Anolis sagrei: one gene and its partner. The protein of the gene in region 2 purifies or fractionates together with the protein of the main gene of each other region. This does not show direct contact. Links are inferred from orthologs where the notes say so. Each region holds a gene or a part of one and is shown on either strand. Other genes may lie near its edges. The genes, in order: NUDC and POC1A.

Region 1 (7,569 bases), on a different chromosome or scaffold from region 2:
GGGCTTTATGTTTTCTTGCCCTGGTGAAGGGAGTTGGACTGGATGGCCTTAAGGCAGTATTTCTCAACCTTGGGTTTGGGGCCCCGGGGGGGGGGGGTTGCGAGGGGTGTCAGAAAGGTCACCAAAGACCACCAGAAAATACAGTATTTTCTGTTGGTCATGGGGTTTCTGTGTGGGAAGTTTCTCCCAATTCTGTCGTTGGTGGGGTTCAGAATGCTCCTTGATTGTAGGTGAATGATAAACCTAGTCCATCTGTGATTATATTTGGGCGTATTGAGTATTCGTGCCAAGTTTGGTCCAGATCCATCATTGTTTGAGTCCACAGTGCTCTCTAGATGTAGGTGAGCTCCAACTCCAAAACTCAAGGTCAATGCCCACCAAACCCTTCTAGTGTTTTCTGCTGGTCAGGGGAGTCCTGTGTGCCAAGTTTGATTTAATCACATCGTTGGTGGAGTTCAGAATGCTCTTTGATTATAGGTGAACTATAAATCCCAGCAACTACAACTTCCAAATGACAAAACCATCAAGATTATTAAGATCGTCTGGAGAGGCCCTGCTCTCGGTCCCACCAGCCTCGTAAGTGCGTCTGGTGAGAACGAGGGACAGGGCCTTCTCGGTGGTGGCCTCTCGACTCTGGAACTCTCTCCCACTGGAGATCAGAACCGCCCCTTCTATCCTGACATTTAGGAAACAGGTGAAGACTTGGTTATGGAGACAGGCATTCGACGAGTGAGCCAATACCCTGAGATATGGATGGAGGATGATGATCAACGATTTTAGTATGACGACTGACCATTATAGTTATTGACTGTAATTGCTGTTTTAATGTTTTACTGTAACATGTATTATGATGTTTTATTGATTGTATGTGATATTATGGTTGGAAACCGGTCTGAGTCCCTCAAGAGAGGTGAGAAGGTCGGTATACAAAACTTTTAAATAAATAAATAAATAAATAAATAAAACCATTTTTTTTGAGCGATGGTCACTCCTTGTGTTGTGAGACATTTTGTTGCCAAATTTGGTGTGATTTCATTCACTGGTTCTTTTGTTTTTAAGGTACTCATTATGCACAGAGCATTTATATATATATAGATTATTATGAAGTTTGAAAGTACACTATATAGTCAGAGATCCTCAAACTGCGACCCTCCAGGTGTTTGGGCCTCCAACTCCCAGGAGCTTTTGCCAGCTTGTTCAGTAGCCAGGAATTATGGGACTTGGTGGCACAAAAAAGCTGGAGGGTCACATAAATAACATGGGGGACAGTCCTGAACCCTGCGGTTTACTCAGGTCCCCTGGTTGCTTCTGGATCTGTCTTCATTGACTTGTCAGCAGCCTATGATACTGTGAACCACCGCCTCCTCCTGAGAAAAATGTATAATATCACAAAGGACTACCACCTCACCCGCCTCATAGGAAACCTGCTACAAAACAGGAGCTTCTTTGTTGAGTTCCAGGGCCAGAGAAGCAGATGGCGGAAACAGAAGAGCGGCCTGCCTCAGGGGAGCGTCCTTGCTCCATCCATGTTCAACATCTACACAAATGACCAGCCACTGCCAGAAGGGACAGAGAGTTTCATCTATGCTGATGATTGTGCCATCACCGCTCAAGCAAGGAACTTTGAGATGGTTGAACAGAAGCTCTCTGAAGCTCTAGGTGCTCTTACTGCCTATTACAGGGAAAAGCAACAGATCCCTAATCCATCTAAAACACAGACATGCGCCTTTCACCTTAAGAACAGACAAGCATCCCGAGCTCTGAGGATTACCTGGGAAGGGATCCCACTGGAGCATTGCAGCGCACCCAAATACCTGGGAGTCACTTTGGACCGTGCTCTGACCTACAAGAAGCACTGCCTGAACATCAAGCAAAAAGTGGGCGCTAGAAACAACATCATACGAAAGCTGACTGGCACAACCTGGGGATCACAACCAGACACAGTGAAGACATCTGCCCTTGCGCTATGCTACTCTGCTGCTGAGTATGCATGCCCAGTGTGGAACACATCTCACCACACTAAAACAGTAGATGTGGCTCTTAATGAGACATGCCGCATTATCACAGGGTGTCTGCGCCCTACACCACTGGAGAAATTACACTGCTTAGCCGGTATTGCACCACCTGACATCCGCCGGGAAGTAGCAGCCAATAGTGAAAGGACCAAGGCAGAGACATCTCCAGCTCATCCCGTTTGGGTATCAGCCAGCACGCCAACGACTTAAATGAAGAAATAGTTTTCTTAGATCTACAGGGACACTCACTGGAACACCCCAGCAAGCGAGAGTCCAAAAGTGGCAGGCTCAAACCCAGCACCTCAATCCATGGGTGATACCAGATGAGAGACTCCCCCCTGGGCACACAGAAGACTGGGAGACTTTGAAGGCGCTGAACAGACTGCGCTCTGGCACCACAAGATGCAGAGCCAATCTTAAGAAATGGGGCTACAAAGTGGAATCCTCGGCATGCGAGTGTGGAGAACAAACCACTGACCACCTGCTGCAATGCACCCTGAGCCCTGCCACATGCACAATGGAGGACCTTCTTGCGGCAACACCAGAAGCACTCCAAGTGGCCAGATACTGGTCAAAGGACATTTAACCAACTACCAAAATTGCAAAATCTGTGTTTTTTTCTTTTCTTTTTAATCTGTGTATTTGTTTTGTTCTGTTAGAATTGTAACACAATGGTATGGTTGCTGATGACACGATAAATAAATAACTCAGGTCCCCACAGGTCAACGGTTATGGGTCGAACAAGAATCCCCCTCCAAGAAGGGTCGAAGCCACTGGAAAACAGTGCTTCCCAGTCCCATTCCCGCGAGGCGGTCCAGGGGGATACAATGGTCAGCAGGGCCTGAGAGGAGACCCTGTCTCTCCGGAAGGGAGGGAAGGAGGAAGGCCCTCTTCGCCCTGCCCGGCCTCTCACCTCCCTCACGCCGCCCGGGTGCTGCTGCGCCATAGCCAGCAACATGCCGTCGAAGCGCTCCTCACTCTCAGCCGCCTCTTCCCCGCTGGCGCCCATCTCGCCTCCTCTTCGCTCCGAAATCTTTCACCACAGGCGACGGAGAGCCTCTGACACGCACGGCCCGCACTGCCTCAGGAACAGGAAGCGAAGGCCTTGTCCAACCCCTTCCTGTTGCTTCTGGCCAATCGCCGACCGGGAGAGCTTAATTGGCAGGCGGGCCTTCCAATCAGGGCTCGGAGGAAGTCAGCGGGCTGTCCGTTGGGCCTCGTGGTGTGGCGTCCGTTGCTATGGTTACGAAGCCTCTTCTGTAAGGGCCGATAGGAAGTGCTAGAATTGAATTGAAATTGTATTGTCGAAGGCTTTCATGGCTGGAATCACTAGGTTCTTGTGGGTTTTTTCGGGCTATAGAGCCACCTCACAACCTCTGAGGATGCTTGCCATAGATGCAGGCGAAACGTCAGGAGAAATGCCTCTAGAACATGGCTCTATAGCCCGAAAAAACCCACAAGAACCTAGTGAATTGAAATTGGCTATATAGCAGGCCTGGGCCAACTTGGGCCCTCCTTCCAGGTGTTTTGGACTCCAACTCCCACAATTCCTAACAGCCCCAGGCCCTTTCCTTTTCCCCCTTAGCCGCTTAAGCAGAAAAAGGAAAGGGAAAAGGAACAGGAAAGGGCCTGTGGGCTCAAACAATGATGGATCTGGACCAAACTTGTCACGGATACTCAATATGCCCAAATGTGAACACTGATGGGGTTTGGGGAAAATAGACTTTGACATTTGGGAGTTGTACTTGCTGGGATTTATAGTTCACCTACAATCAAGGAGTGTTCTGAACCCCAACAATGAATTGGGCCAAACTTCCCACACAGAACCCCCATGACCAACAGAAAATACTGTATTTTCTGATGGTCTTTGGCGACCCCTCTGACACCCCTTCGCGACCCCCCCAGGGGTCCCGACCCCCAGGTTGAGAAACACTGGTATAGAAACTTGATATGGTCATACTCGCCGAGGTGAAGTCAAATTCATTTGCAAGACAGCTCTTGATTTAGAAATGCCTGGCAAGAGACCAAATAATAAACAACAACAAAGTATGGATCGTTGATGTTGCAATCCCAGGCGACAGCAGGATTGAAGAGTAACAACTGGAAAAGCTGTCATGATATGAGGATTTAAAGATCGAACTGCAAAGACTGGCACAAACTAGTAAAGGTGGTCCCAGTGGTGATCGGCACACTGGGTGCAGTGCCTAAAGACCTTGACCTCACAACCTCTGAGGATGCTTGACATAGATGCAGGCGAAACGTCAGGAGAGAATGCTTCTAGAACAGTGGTTCTCAACCTACGATCCCTAGATGTTTTTGGCCTTCAACTCCCAGAAATCCTAAAATCTGTTAAACTGGCTGGGATTTCTGGGAGTTGTAGGCCAAAAACATCTGGGGACCCCAGGTTTAGAACCACTGTTCTAGAACATTCTCTCTAGCCGAAAAGCCTACAGCAACCCAGTGATTCCAGCCATGAAAGCCTTTGACAATACAATAATAATGATAACAATAATATAATCAAACTGCAAAGACTCTGGCACAAGCCAGTAAAGGTGGTCCCAGTAGTGATCGGCACACTGGGTGCAGTGCCTAAAGACCTTGACCTCACAACCTCTGAGGATGCTTGCCATAGATGCAGGTGAAACATCAGGAGAGAATGCTTCTAGAACATTCTCTCTAGCCGAAAAGCCTACAACGACCCAGTGATTCCAGCCATGAAAGCCTTTGACAATACAATAATCATGATGATGATGATGATGATAATAATAATAATAATAATAATATAATCAAACTGCAAAGACTCTGGCACAAACCAGTAAAGGTGGTCCCAGTGGTGATCGGCACACTGGGTGTAGTGCCTAAAGACCCTGGCCTGCACTCAAAAACAATTGGTGCTGACAAAATTACCATCTGTCAGCTGCAAAAGGCTACCTTACTGGGATCTACACCTATTATTTGCCGATACATCACACAGTCCTAGACACTTGCGAAGTGCCCGATGTGTGATCCAATACAACAGCCAGCAGAGTGATTTTGTTTGTTGTGGCCTCAACTTGTTGTGTTTTAAATAATAATAATAAAAAAAATTATTTCTATACCCCGCCACCATCTCCCCAAGGTAACTCAGGGCAGCTTACATGGGGACAAGCCCAAAAATCACAGATAAAAACAACAGCATTAAAATCAATCAAATAAAAACATAACACAGTCACAACAACAACATCATAGAAACAATATCATGGCTGGAAACAGAATCAGAGCTCAAGTAAGTGCAGCGAATTCCTAAGTAGAGCTGAGGGAAAGTGCAAAAATTCAAATGTGCCAATCTAGAGGGAATACCTTTGGCAATAAAGTGTCGAGATTAGTGGGGGTAGGCCAAACTAAACTGCAGGAGCTTAGATAGGGTCGAGCCAGTTGCCTAATCAAAGGCGCGACGGAACATCCAAGTTTTTAAGTCCTTACGGAAGGTGGACAAGGTGGGTGCTTTTCTGACTACTGAAGCAATGCTGGCTGGACACATTGTACAACCATCTGAAGAGTACTGGCATACACCCTGATCAGGCGCACGATCAGGTGAAATGGTGCCAGTAAACTTGTAAAGCAAACCCCGCCATCAAGCAGGACAAATGCTGAAGAAAAAGAATAAGAATAGTGCATTTCTAGAAACAGGTTTTGTGTTGTTCTGCTCAATTAAAGAAAACAGCCCTGGAGGGAGAGAGGCAAGGCACACTTTTTATTGTCTAGCAGCCGCCTGTTGTGCAGTGTCATGCATGAATTTTTTTTCAAGGCGAATGAAACTTGCATTTGGTGCCTGTATTTATATTTCCTGGCAAAGCTTCCATAAGAAATTAGCTGTTAGATGGCACTCTCTGAGAAAAAAGGGTGGGGACCATGACCATTTGTCAAATCTTACGGTTGTATGTTTATAGTATCAGACACAATCTGGCTGAAAATTAGTTTTGATTTTAGAAGAGCATGCAGTGAAAGATAAAAATGTTGGTTGTGTCATCCTAAATTCTCTCCAATTTGTTATTCCACTAAGAAAGTATTTAAGAATCCAGATGTGTGTACTTGGGATTATATTTTACTCTTTTATTTAGATGTCATCTCAGACTGAGCCATTAACACAGAGAATGCCATATACACACGACCATTATGTATCCATTTACTCAGGTCAAAGTGATATTGAGCAAGAATTTAGGGGTCTTTGCCAGGAGGCAAAGACCAATCAGACTCACCAAGGAGAGTCCGGAGCCCTGGCGAGACAAAGAAAGCACCCAAGATTTTTCCTATTTTTTCCCAATAAAAGTCTCACCAAGTTGAAGAAAAGCCACCGAGTTGTCTTTATTTCGTCCCAGCTGGTACGGATGTCAAACCACAATTTCTTGCCAAAGTTGACATGTTTGGCAAGGGAGAAAAGGGTACATTTTATAGAAAATACAGATTGTCAGATTCAAACTTCTCGCCCCCCGCCCCTCTGCCGGCTTTGCGCTGATTGGTTGGTGTCATCTGCTGGAGGGAGGCGCAGCCAGAGGTGGCAAACAGTGTTTTGGCGCCCCCCCCCCCCAACCAATCACTGATATATATTTTCTGTTCGTCGTGGGAGTTCTGTGTGCCATATTTGGTTCAATTCCATCATTGGTGGAGTTCAGAATGCTCTTTGATTGTAGGTGAACTATACATCCCAGTAACTACAACTCTCATAGGTCTATTTTCCCCCAAGAGCGCCTCAAGAGCGCCCCTGGCCAAAATAATCTATACTGCAAATGCTTACTTTGCGTAATGGGTTGAGCCACCCCTGAGCGCCCTCAGCCAATGGGGAAGCCAGCGCCGCTCCGGCTCCTGAGCCAATGGGAGTCAAGGAAGCAGTACAAGTGGGAAAACAATGAACCGAGAGGAAAAATGATTGGATTATTGTGGTTTAATGTGTTGTCCGATAGCCGGCGATAATCCGGAGATTCCTCAAGCTGGCCTTGTATTGTCCTGAGAGGTTGAAACATGCAAAAGTGGCTGGAACTGCTGCCAAGCCTTGATATCCTTCTGTCTCAGATATGGGATTGATTGATGCTATCTGTGTGTGGGTTTCATTCCAAGGGGCAAAGACAATGAGAGTGGTGGATGGGACATCTTGATCTTCCCTGAAGGCAGGATGTCCCATTGTTGACAAGTGGCCAGGTTCGCATCCCGGGCGGACCGGCAGCGATCTGCAGTCTGGGAGAGGAAAGGTTCATGCGGAGAGAGGTTAGAGGCAATAAAAGGACACAAAGTAACACTGTGGAGAGGAAAAAGATTACAATTAATTGATACTTTTATTGGGGGGTTAGTTATAATGTTAGAAGGGGCAAGAAAGCGAAGTAATAAGGCTCCTGATTTGCAGCTGCTGCTGTGGCCACGTTCATACAGATTGGCCCAAGCGGGGCAATGGAGAACTGAGAAACTCCCTGCTGCAGGTCAGATCAGCTTGAAGGCAGGGAGTTCTGGGTTCGACCTCATTAGTATGTTATATATCACACTGAAACCAGCATCCCCATCGCCACAGGGGTCAAGCCCAATA
Region 2 (7,887 bases):
CATACAGCATGCAAAATTTGTCTGAAGAATATCAGCATTAATTTGAATAGCATGTTTCCCATTCTAAAGTCCATGAATAACTGAAGGGATGCTTATATATTTCCAGAAGTAGTTCTGTGCCTTCCATAATGTTTTATCTCTGCCCTGATATACAGAACCAGACTGATTATGAAACACTGGGGGGGGGGGGGGAGTATTTAAAAACCTAAATAATACATACATTTAACACCTGTAAGAGAAATATCACTGCTATATAGACTACATAGGAGACATGAGTTCCTAATCAATCATTTATTTCCTGGAAAGCTGTTTCTCAAGTTTCTGATATCTAGTCCAGAAAGTAACAGTTACCATACAGAAATTAGTTATAATGAAATACATCCTAACCATTTTGATTTTAGGTTAGTTATGTCTTCTAGGGACACTGCTAGCTGCTGAACTTGCTGACTGAAAGACTGGGGGTTCAAATCCAGGGAGCGGGGTGAGCTCCCGCTTTTAGGCTCCATTTCTGCCAACCTAGCAGTTCGAAAACATGTAAATGTAAGCAGAGACTAACTGCACAAATTGCACATGAACTCATGGCCCTTCTACACTGTCATATAATCCAGTTCAAAGCAGATAATCTGGATTTTATATGGCAGTGTAGAAGGGTCATGGGTTTTTGCATGATTCCCAGCCACATCCAACTGAGGGCCCTTCTACACAGCCATATTACCCAGAATATCAAGGCAGATCATTCACAATATCTGCTTTGAACTGGAATATATGGCAGTGTGGATTCAGATCACCCAGTTCAAAGCAGGTATTTTTGGATTTTCTGCCTTGATGTTCTGGGCTATATGGCTGTGTGAAAGGGCCCTGGGTTATCTGAGTGTACACTGCCAGTTCAGTGTGGATTTTATACAGCTGTGTGGCAGAGGCCTGAGTATTTATTTCTATTCTGGCCTTCAAAGAGGCCTGCACATTACGTTGGTCAGCTAAGAAAACTATGAGAAAAAGTTAGCTGAACTTAATACTAAAGAGAAAGGAGAGGACTGCGTTTTGGATGCTTTGATTAGGCCTCTTCCGCACAGCTGAATAAAATCGCACAATATCTACTTTGACCATTTCTGCTACCTTGACAGCCACCTCTGCACAAACGTCAGCATTGACACTGAAATACAACACCGCCTGAGCTCTGTGAGTGCAGCATTTTTCCTAATGAAGCAGAGAGTGTTAGAGGATCGGAACATCCGTAGGGAGACCAAGGTGTTTATTTATAAAGTTATTGTCCTCCCAACCCTGTTATATGCCTGCAAAATGTGGACTGTCTACAGAAGTCACACTCAACTCCTGGAACAAGTCCATCAGCATTGCCTCTGAAAAATCATGCAAATCTCTTGGGAAGGCAGGTGGACAAATGCCAGTGTGCTGGAAGAAACAAAGACCACCAGCATTGAAGAGATGGTCCTTTTTCCATCAACTCAGCTGGACTAGCTACATTGTCCGAATGCCTGAAGCAGCTTCTATACTCCCAATTCAAGAACAGAAAACAGAAAGCCCTAAACGGTTCTGGCCCTACTTACCTCTCCGAACGCATCTCCTCCTATGAACCGGCTAGGACACTAAGATCATCTGGAGAGGCCCTGCACTCTGTCCCGCCTGCATCACAGGTGCGCTTGGCAGGGACAAGAGACAGGGCCTTCTCAGTGGTGGCCCCTCGGCTGTGGAATGCCCTGACTGCAGATATCAGATTGGCCCCCTTCCTGCTGGGGTTTCGGAGGAGCTGTTCGAACAAGCATTTGATTAAACAGTATAATTGAACATAGGAATACGGAATAATGGATAACGAGACTGGATTCCGATTTTACTGTTGAGGCGCTAATGATTGTTATACGGATGTTTAATGATTTATGTTACAATTGTTTTTAATTGCCCTATACTTGTCTCGTGATGTTTTGTATTGATGTAGTTCACCACTTTGAGTTGCCTGAGGGCTGAGAAAAGCGGTGTATATATATAAATAAATAAATGTTGGTGGATAGGAAAAGAGATTTAAAGATGGGCTTAAAGCTAACCTTAAAAACTGTGGCATAGACACCGAGAACTGAGAAGCCCTGGCCCCTGAGCATTCTAACTGGAGGTCAGTTGTGACCAGCAATGCCGTGGAATTTGAAGAGGCACCTATGGAGGGTGCCAATAGGAAGGCGTGTCAAGCCAACCCTGGTGTGAGAGAATTGGCCCTTGCAGATGGCCAATTCTCTCACACCAGAAGCGACTTGCAGTCTCTCAAGTCGCTCCTGACACGACAAAAAAAATTATAAATATTATATTATTAGCATAGCACATAGTTGAACTGGGTTATCTGTGTCCACACTTAATGTGGGATTTTCTGCCTTTATATTCTGGGTTTTATGGCTGTGTGGAAGGGCACCGAGTCTCTTTTGAGATAGAGAATGCGGGATATAAATACATGTGAAAGGTATGTTTCCCAAACTAATAAACTCTTCCTTTCCAAATGACTCTCTGGTTCTCCCTTGCACCTCTCTTCCTCCTCTGTGAGGGCCCTTCCACACAGCCATATAATCCAGAATATCAAGGCAGAAAATCCCACAATATCTGCTTTGAACTGGGTTATCTGAGTCCACACTGCTATATATTCCAGCTCAAAGCAGATCATGTGTGGAAGGGGCCTGAGAAGTTACAACTCCCAGGCAGCAAAGGGGAGGGACTTAGTCAGGCCTCCCCCCGGCTCTTCTCCCACTCCACTCCCCTGCCTTGCCATTTCCAAGCCCTGTTGCCAGTGGGGCCAGCTTCTCCTTCCCCCGTTTCCCCCCTTCTGCCCTTACCAAGCAAGAAAACGCCATGTTGCCGAAAGAGTCCCAGCGGAACGAAGCCTCGCCGCGATTGTTGCCGCCGGACGGATTCAGTTTGCGCGCCCTGCCCTCCGCCTTAGTAACGGCGTCCTGCGCTTAAAGGGGAGGCGGCGGGGAAGGCCAGAAATGTTGCCCTCCGACAAGAAAAGAAAAGCGCGGGAAGAAGAGAGGGAATCCGGCAGGAAGCGAGGGAGGGAGGGAAGTGGGGGCGACTTCCTGTTCTTGGAAAGTATGCCCAGGACGCCTTTTCTCATCATGATTGAGAAATTTCCAAATACAAGAAAGCAGATATGAGCAAACTTGGGCCCTCCAGGGGTTTTGGACTTCAACTCCCACCATTCCTCACAGCCTCAGGCCCCTTCCTTTCCCCCCTCAGCCACTGAGGCCCCTTCAACACTGCCATATACAATCTAGATTATCTTCTTTGAGCTGGATTATATAGAAGTGTACACTCATAAAATCCAGTTCAAAACAAACGTTATGGATTTTCTGCTTTGATAATCTGGATTATATGGCAGTGCAGAAGGAGCCTCTAGGCCCCTTTCACACAGCTATACAAAATCCTATATTACTTGCTCTGAACTGGGTTGTATGGCAGTGTGGACTCAGATAACCCAGTTCAAAGTAGATATTGTGGATTATCTGCCTTGATATTCTGGGTTATATGTCTGTGGAAGGAGCCTCTGGGCCCTTCCACACAGCCCTATATCCTAGAATATCAAGGCAGAAAATCCCACCTTATGTGAGTGTGGACTCAGATAACCCAGTTCAAACCAGATATTGGGGATTATCTACCTTGATATTCTGAGTTATATGGCTGTGTGGAAGGAGCCTCGGTGGGACTGACTCTGAATGTTTTTTTTTCTTTCTTTTTTGTATATTTGTGTTGGCATTTGCTGGTTTGTGTTGTTGAAGGCTCTCGTGGTTGGAATCATTGAAAATAGCTGGTTTCTGTGTATTCCCTTAAGACCTTCACGATTACACTTCTTGGTATTTTCATTTTAAACATAATCCATGAAGGGGGTAAGGAAAAAAATATTGATGGTAAAGCAGGTTTTTGGTGTTTGCGTCTGATTTTTTTTTGCTTCTTTTTCTTTTCTTTTTTAATGGTTGCATAGTATCTGCGCAGTGGGTTAAACTGCTGAGCTGCTAAACTTGCTGACCAAAAGGTTAACGGGGAGCGGGGTGAGCTCCCACTGATAGCCCCTGCTTCTGCCAACCTAACAGTTCGAAAACATGCAAATGTGAGATCTGTGGGAAGGTAACGGTGCTCCATGCAGTCATGCTGGCTGCATGACCTTGGAGGCGTCTATGGACAAAGCCGGCTCTTCGGCTTAGAAATGGAGATGAGCACCACCCCGCAGAGTCTGACACGACTAGGCTTAATGTCAAGGGGAAACCTTTACCTTTACTTTAATATCTGAAGTACAAGGAAGTTTTTCTGGGTTTTTTGCCTGCTTACCTATCCGAATGTATCTCTCCTTATAAACCATAGGGCTTTAAGATCGTCTGGGGAGGCCCTGCTCTCGATCCTGCCTTCCTCACAGATGCGTTTGGTGGGGACGAGACAGGGCCTTCTTGGTGGTGGCCCCTCGGCTATGGAACACCCTTCCCAGGGATATAAGATCAGCTCCCTCCCATCTAACATTCTGCAAAATGGTTAAGCAAGCTTTTTCACCTGGAGCATAACTAGATGAAAATGAATATACGGAACGCCCGTTGATGCAATTGGACAATGATTTTAGTAAGGAGGCGCTGAGAATTTTGTGTTTACAGGATGTATTGTTTTTTATATCACATTTTAAATGTTTTGTAATTGTTTTAAGTGTATTTTTATAATTCCTATAGCATCAAATCACTGCGTACTGTGAACCGCCTTGAGTCGCCATTGGCTGAGAAAGGCAGTATACAAATGCAGCAAATAAATAAATAATAAATATTAGGGCCGTGAAAAGGCAATGAAACAGGATAAATAATTTTACAATTTCAACAGGGAAGGCATTTTCTGCATTGTGGTGCTTCCCTTTTGTGGATTTGGGATATTGTTGTACTAGTTTGCTTTTCTTTCTTTCTTTGGGGCGGGAAGAGTTAATCCCTGCAGGCAGCCCCTGCCAAACTCCATGGAAACCCCGCAGCAGAAGCCTAGCCCTCGTGGCAAACTGGGGCTTGGAAGGTTCCAAAGGGAAGCAGGCGGTGGGGGGAGGTGGCTGATGGGTTTTCCCATTGGGTGGAGCAGTTTGATCAAACTAGATGATATCTTTGGATTTCAGACTAAAACACTGGGGAGCATGGTGGCTTGGTGCTACTGGGCTATTCGGGGGAGTCTTTGGAGGAGAGAGGAGAGCTCTTTCCCTCACTCCTGCTCCCCAAACACCCCCTTTTTTCCATTCTGTTGGTACAGTCCCCCGCTCTTTTCTTCCCTGCTCCAGCCTGCTGGCTTCACAACGTGACTGGCTCATGGGGCGAGAGGGTCGGGGTGGGTTCTGGGATGCTTAATAGTTCCCATTGCTTAGGCATTCTCCAGTTCTGGTTAATAAACAAAGATTTATGGGAAGAGCTGCTCTAATTAAGGGAAGGTTATTATATTTTATAACAAGGAAGGAAACTTAGCAAAAATGGTTTTTGTGTGTGGCAGGAGCAATTGCGTGGTTCCCTTTTTCTCTATTTTCTTAATTTTCCGTTTTCAATGGCAGGGCTTCTTAAGGAAAGAAAGCTAATTGGAAAGCAGTTGCAGTACAATGAGTGAATATTAAGAACTGCTGCTCTGGAAGTCTCTCAATTTCCTCCAGTTGGGAAGAAGCTTAGTTTGGGGCACTTGCCTTGGAACAACCAGTTACCTTCAAACTTTTAAGTCTGGATTTTGTTGTGGGGAAATCAAGAGAGTGCCTGGGCGCAGACAGGCCCAAGACCTGTCAGTGTGCGATTGGTTTGCCTACTCTAGAACATGCAACATATAATTGCCCTTTAGGGGTTCCTTTAAAATCTATGATATTATATCTGTCACATATATATATGTGTGTGAATCATCTCTATATCTATGGCTGGATAGCTCTTTGTCAGGAAGGTTTTTGATTGTTTTCTTGCCCTGCTAAAGGGAGTCGGACTGGATGGCCTTAAGGCAACATTTCTCAACGTGGGGGTCAGGATCCTAGAGGGATGTCAGAAGGGTCGCCAAAACCCCCAGAAAACAGTATTTTCTGTTGGTCATGGGGGTTCTGTGTGGGAAGTTCATTTGGGGGAGGGGCAGGTTCAGAATGCTCTTTGATTGTAGGTGAACTATAAATCCCAATAACTACAACTCCCAAATGTCAGGGTCTATTTTCCCCAAACTCCATTTATGTTTGTATTTGGGCATATGGAATATTTGTGCCAAGTTTGGTCTAGATCAGTGGTTCTCAACCTTTCTAATGCTGTGACACCTTAATACAGTTCCTCATGTTGTGGTGACCCCCAACCATAAAATTATATGTGTTGCTACTTTGTAACTCTTAATTTGCTACTGTTAAGAATCGCAATATAAATATCGGTTATGTAGGTGTATTTTCATTGTTACAAAGTGAACATAAACCATAGTGATTAATCACAAAAACAATATGTAATTATATATTGTGAAATATTTATTTCTAATTGCAAATAAATGAAATTTAGATTTGAAGCATGTCATAGCATGGGTAACAGTCTCAATATAACAGCAAACAGATTTAACATACATACAACTCACATTATAACCTAGTAATATAACAACAGGAAACCACATTGCTACATTTTCCAGCAGGACGCATTATAAGGCCAACATCAGTGCGAAGCTTGTGCTTGCTTCTTTCTCACCAAATCAGAAATTCTTGGGGCAGTCTTTGCAAGGGCACAACGGAGATCGTCTTCCACAACAAGTCTACCTCTATTTTTAGACTTGATATCCAACAAGCTGGAAAACCCTTGTTCACAAAGATATGTTGTTGGAAATGGAACAAGAAGACGCAACACAGTCTCAGACAGAACGGGATATGACTGCAAACACTTGATCCAGAATTTTGTGATGGGCATGGTAGAGAAATCGGTTTTGCAGCGTCACTGTTAATAAGTTCAATGAATTCCTCTTGTGCTGCCTCAGGAATATCTTCAACGTTGATGGAGAATGGGCTCCTGACAAGTGCAAAGGGGATGTCAGGAAGATTTGGAAAATAATATGAAATTTCATCTGCAAGGATGTGAAAATGTTCTTTCACAGAAGGTATAATTGTAATCCTTTCCTCTGGTTCAACATCATTTTCCTCAAAGAAAGCACATAATGTAGGCAGCATATAAATTTTATTTTCATACAATTTTTTCCCCCAAAACTGAAGTTTCTGTTGGAATGTTTTGATCTTTTCTGACAAATCAAGGCTTGTAGCATTTGGTCCTTGCAGTGATAAATTTAATTCATTCAAGATGGCAAAAATATCAGCCAAGTAAGCTATTTTTTGCAGTTCACTGTGATCGCTGAAAAGTGCTTCAAACTGTGGTTTTGCTTTTTGGTTAAAGAACACTTTGAGTTCATCCCGAAGCTCATAAACTCGTAAAACTTTTCCTCTGGACAGCCATCTCGCTTCCGTGTGAAATAGGAGGACATTGCTGGGTGCATCCATCTCACTGCACAGTTGTGAAAATAGTCTGCAATTTAAACCACTTCCCTTCACAAAATTGACACAACTTATTACACATTTCATGACTTCCTGAAACTCTTGTGGCAGCGTCTTTGTTGCTAGTATTTGCCTATGAATCATGCAATGAGTTCCAATGACTTTTGGTGACTCATCCTGTACCAAGCGTTGAAAACCAGATCGGCATCCTAACATTGCTGGAGCACCATCTGTGCAAACACCACAAACCATTTCCCAGGAGATCTGATGTTCCTTCAGGAATGAATCAACTGTATCAAATATGTCACGTGCAGTGGTTGTTGTTTCAAGGGGTTTGCAGAAAAGAAATTCGTCTTTAAAGCCACCATCATGAATATACCTCACATACACCAGTAACTGAACAGTTTGAAGCG

What was found.
Region 1: the proteins of POC1A (region 2) and NUDC purify together in Homo sapiens (co-immunoprecipitation; 3 studies listed by BioGRID and IntAct, with this or other methods). This does not show direct contact. The link is inferred for Anolis sagrei from reciprocal best matches to the Homo sapiens genes POC1A and NUDC.

What each region holds. Positions count from the first base shown.
Region 1 is NC_090034.1:72,669,012-72,676,580, reverse strand, and holds the start of NUDC (nuclear migration protein nudC), read right to left. Parts: upstream 3,132-7,569; 5' UTR 3,025-3,131; coding exon 2,929-3,024; intron 1-2,928. UniProt on the Homo sapiens protein: Plays a role in neurogenesis and neuronal migration. Necessary for correct formation of mitotic spindles and chromosome separation during mitosis. Necessary for cytokinesis and cell proliferation.
Region 2 is NC_090022.1:69,060,415-69,068,301, forward strand, and holds the start of POC1A (POC1 centriolar protein homolog A), read right to left. Parts: upstream 3,006-7,887; 5' UTR 2,847-3,005; coding exon 2,829-2,846; intron 1-2,828.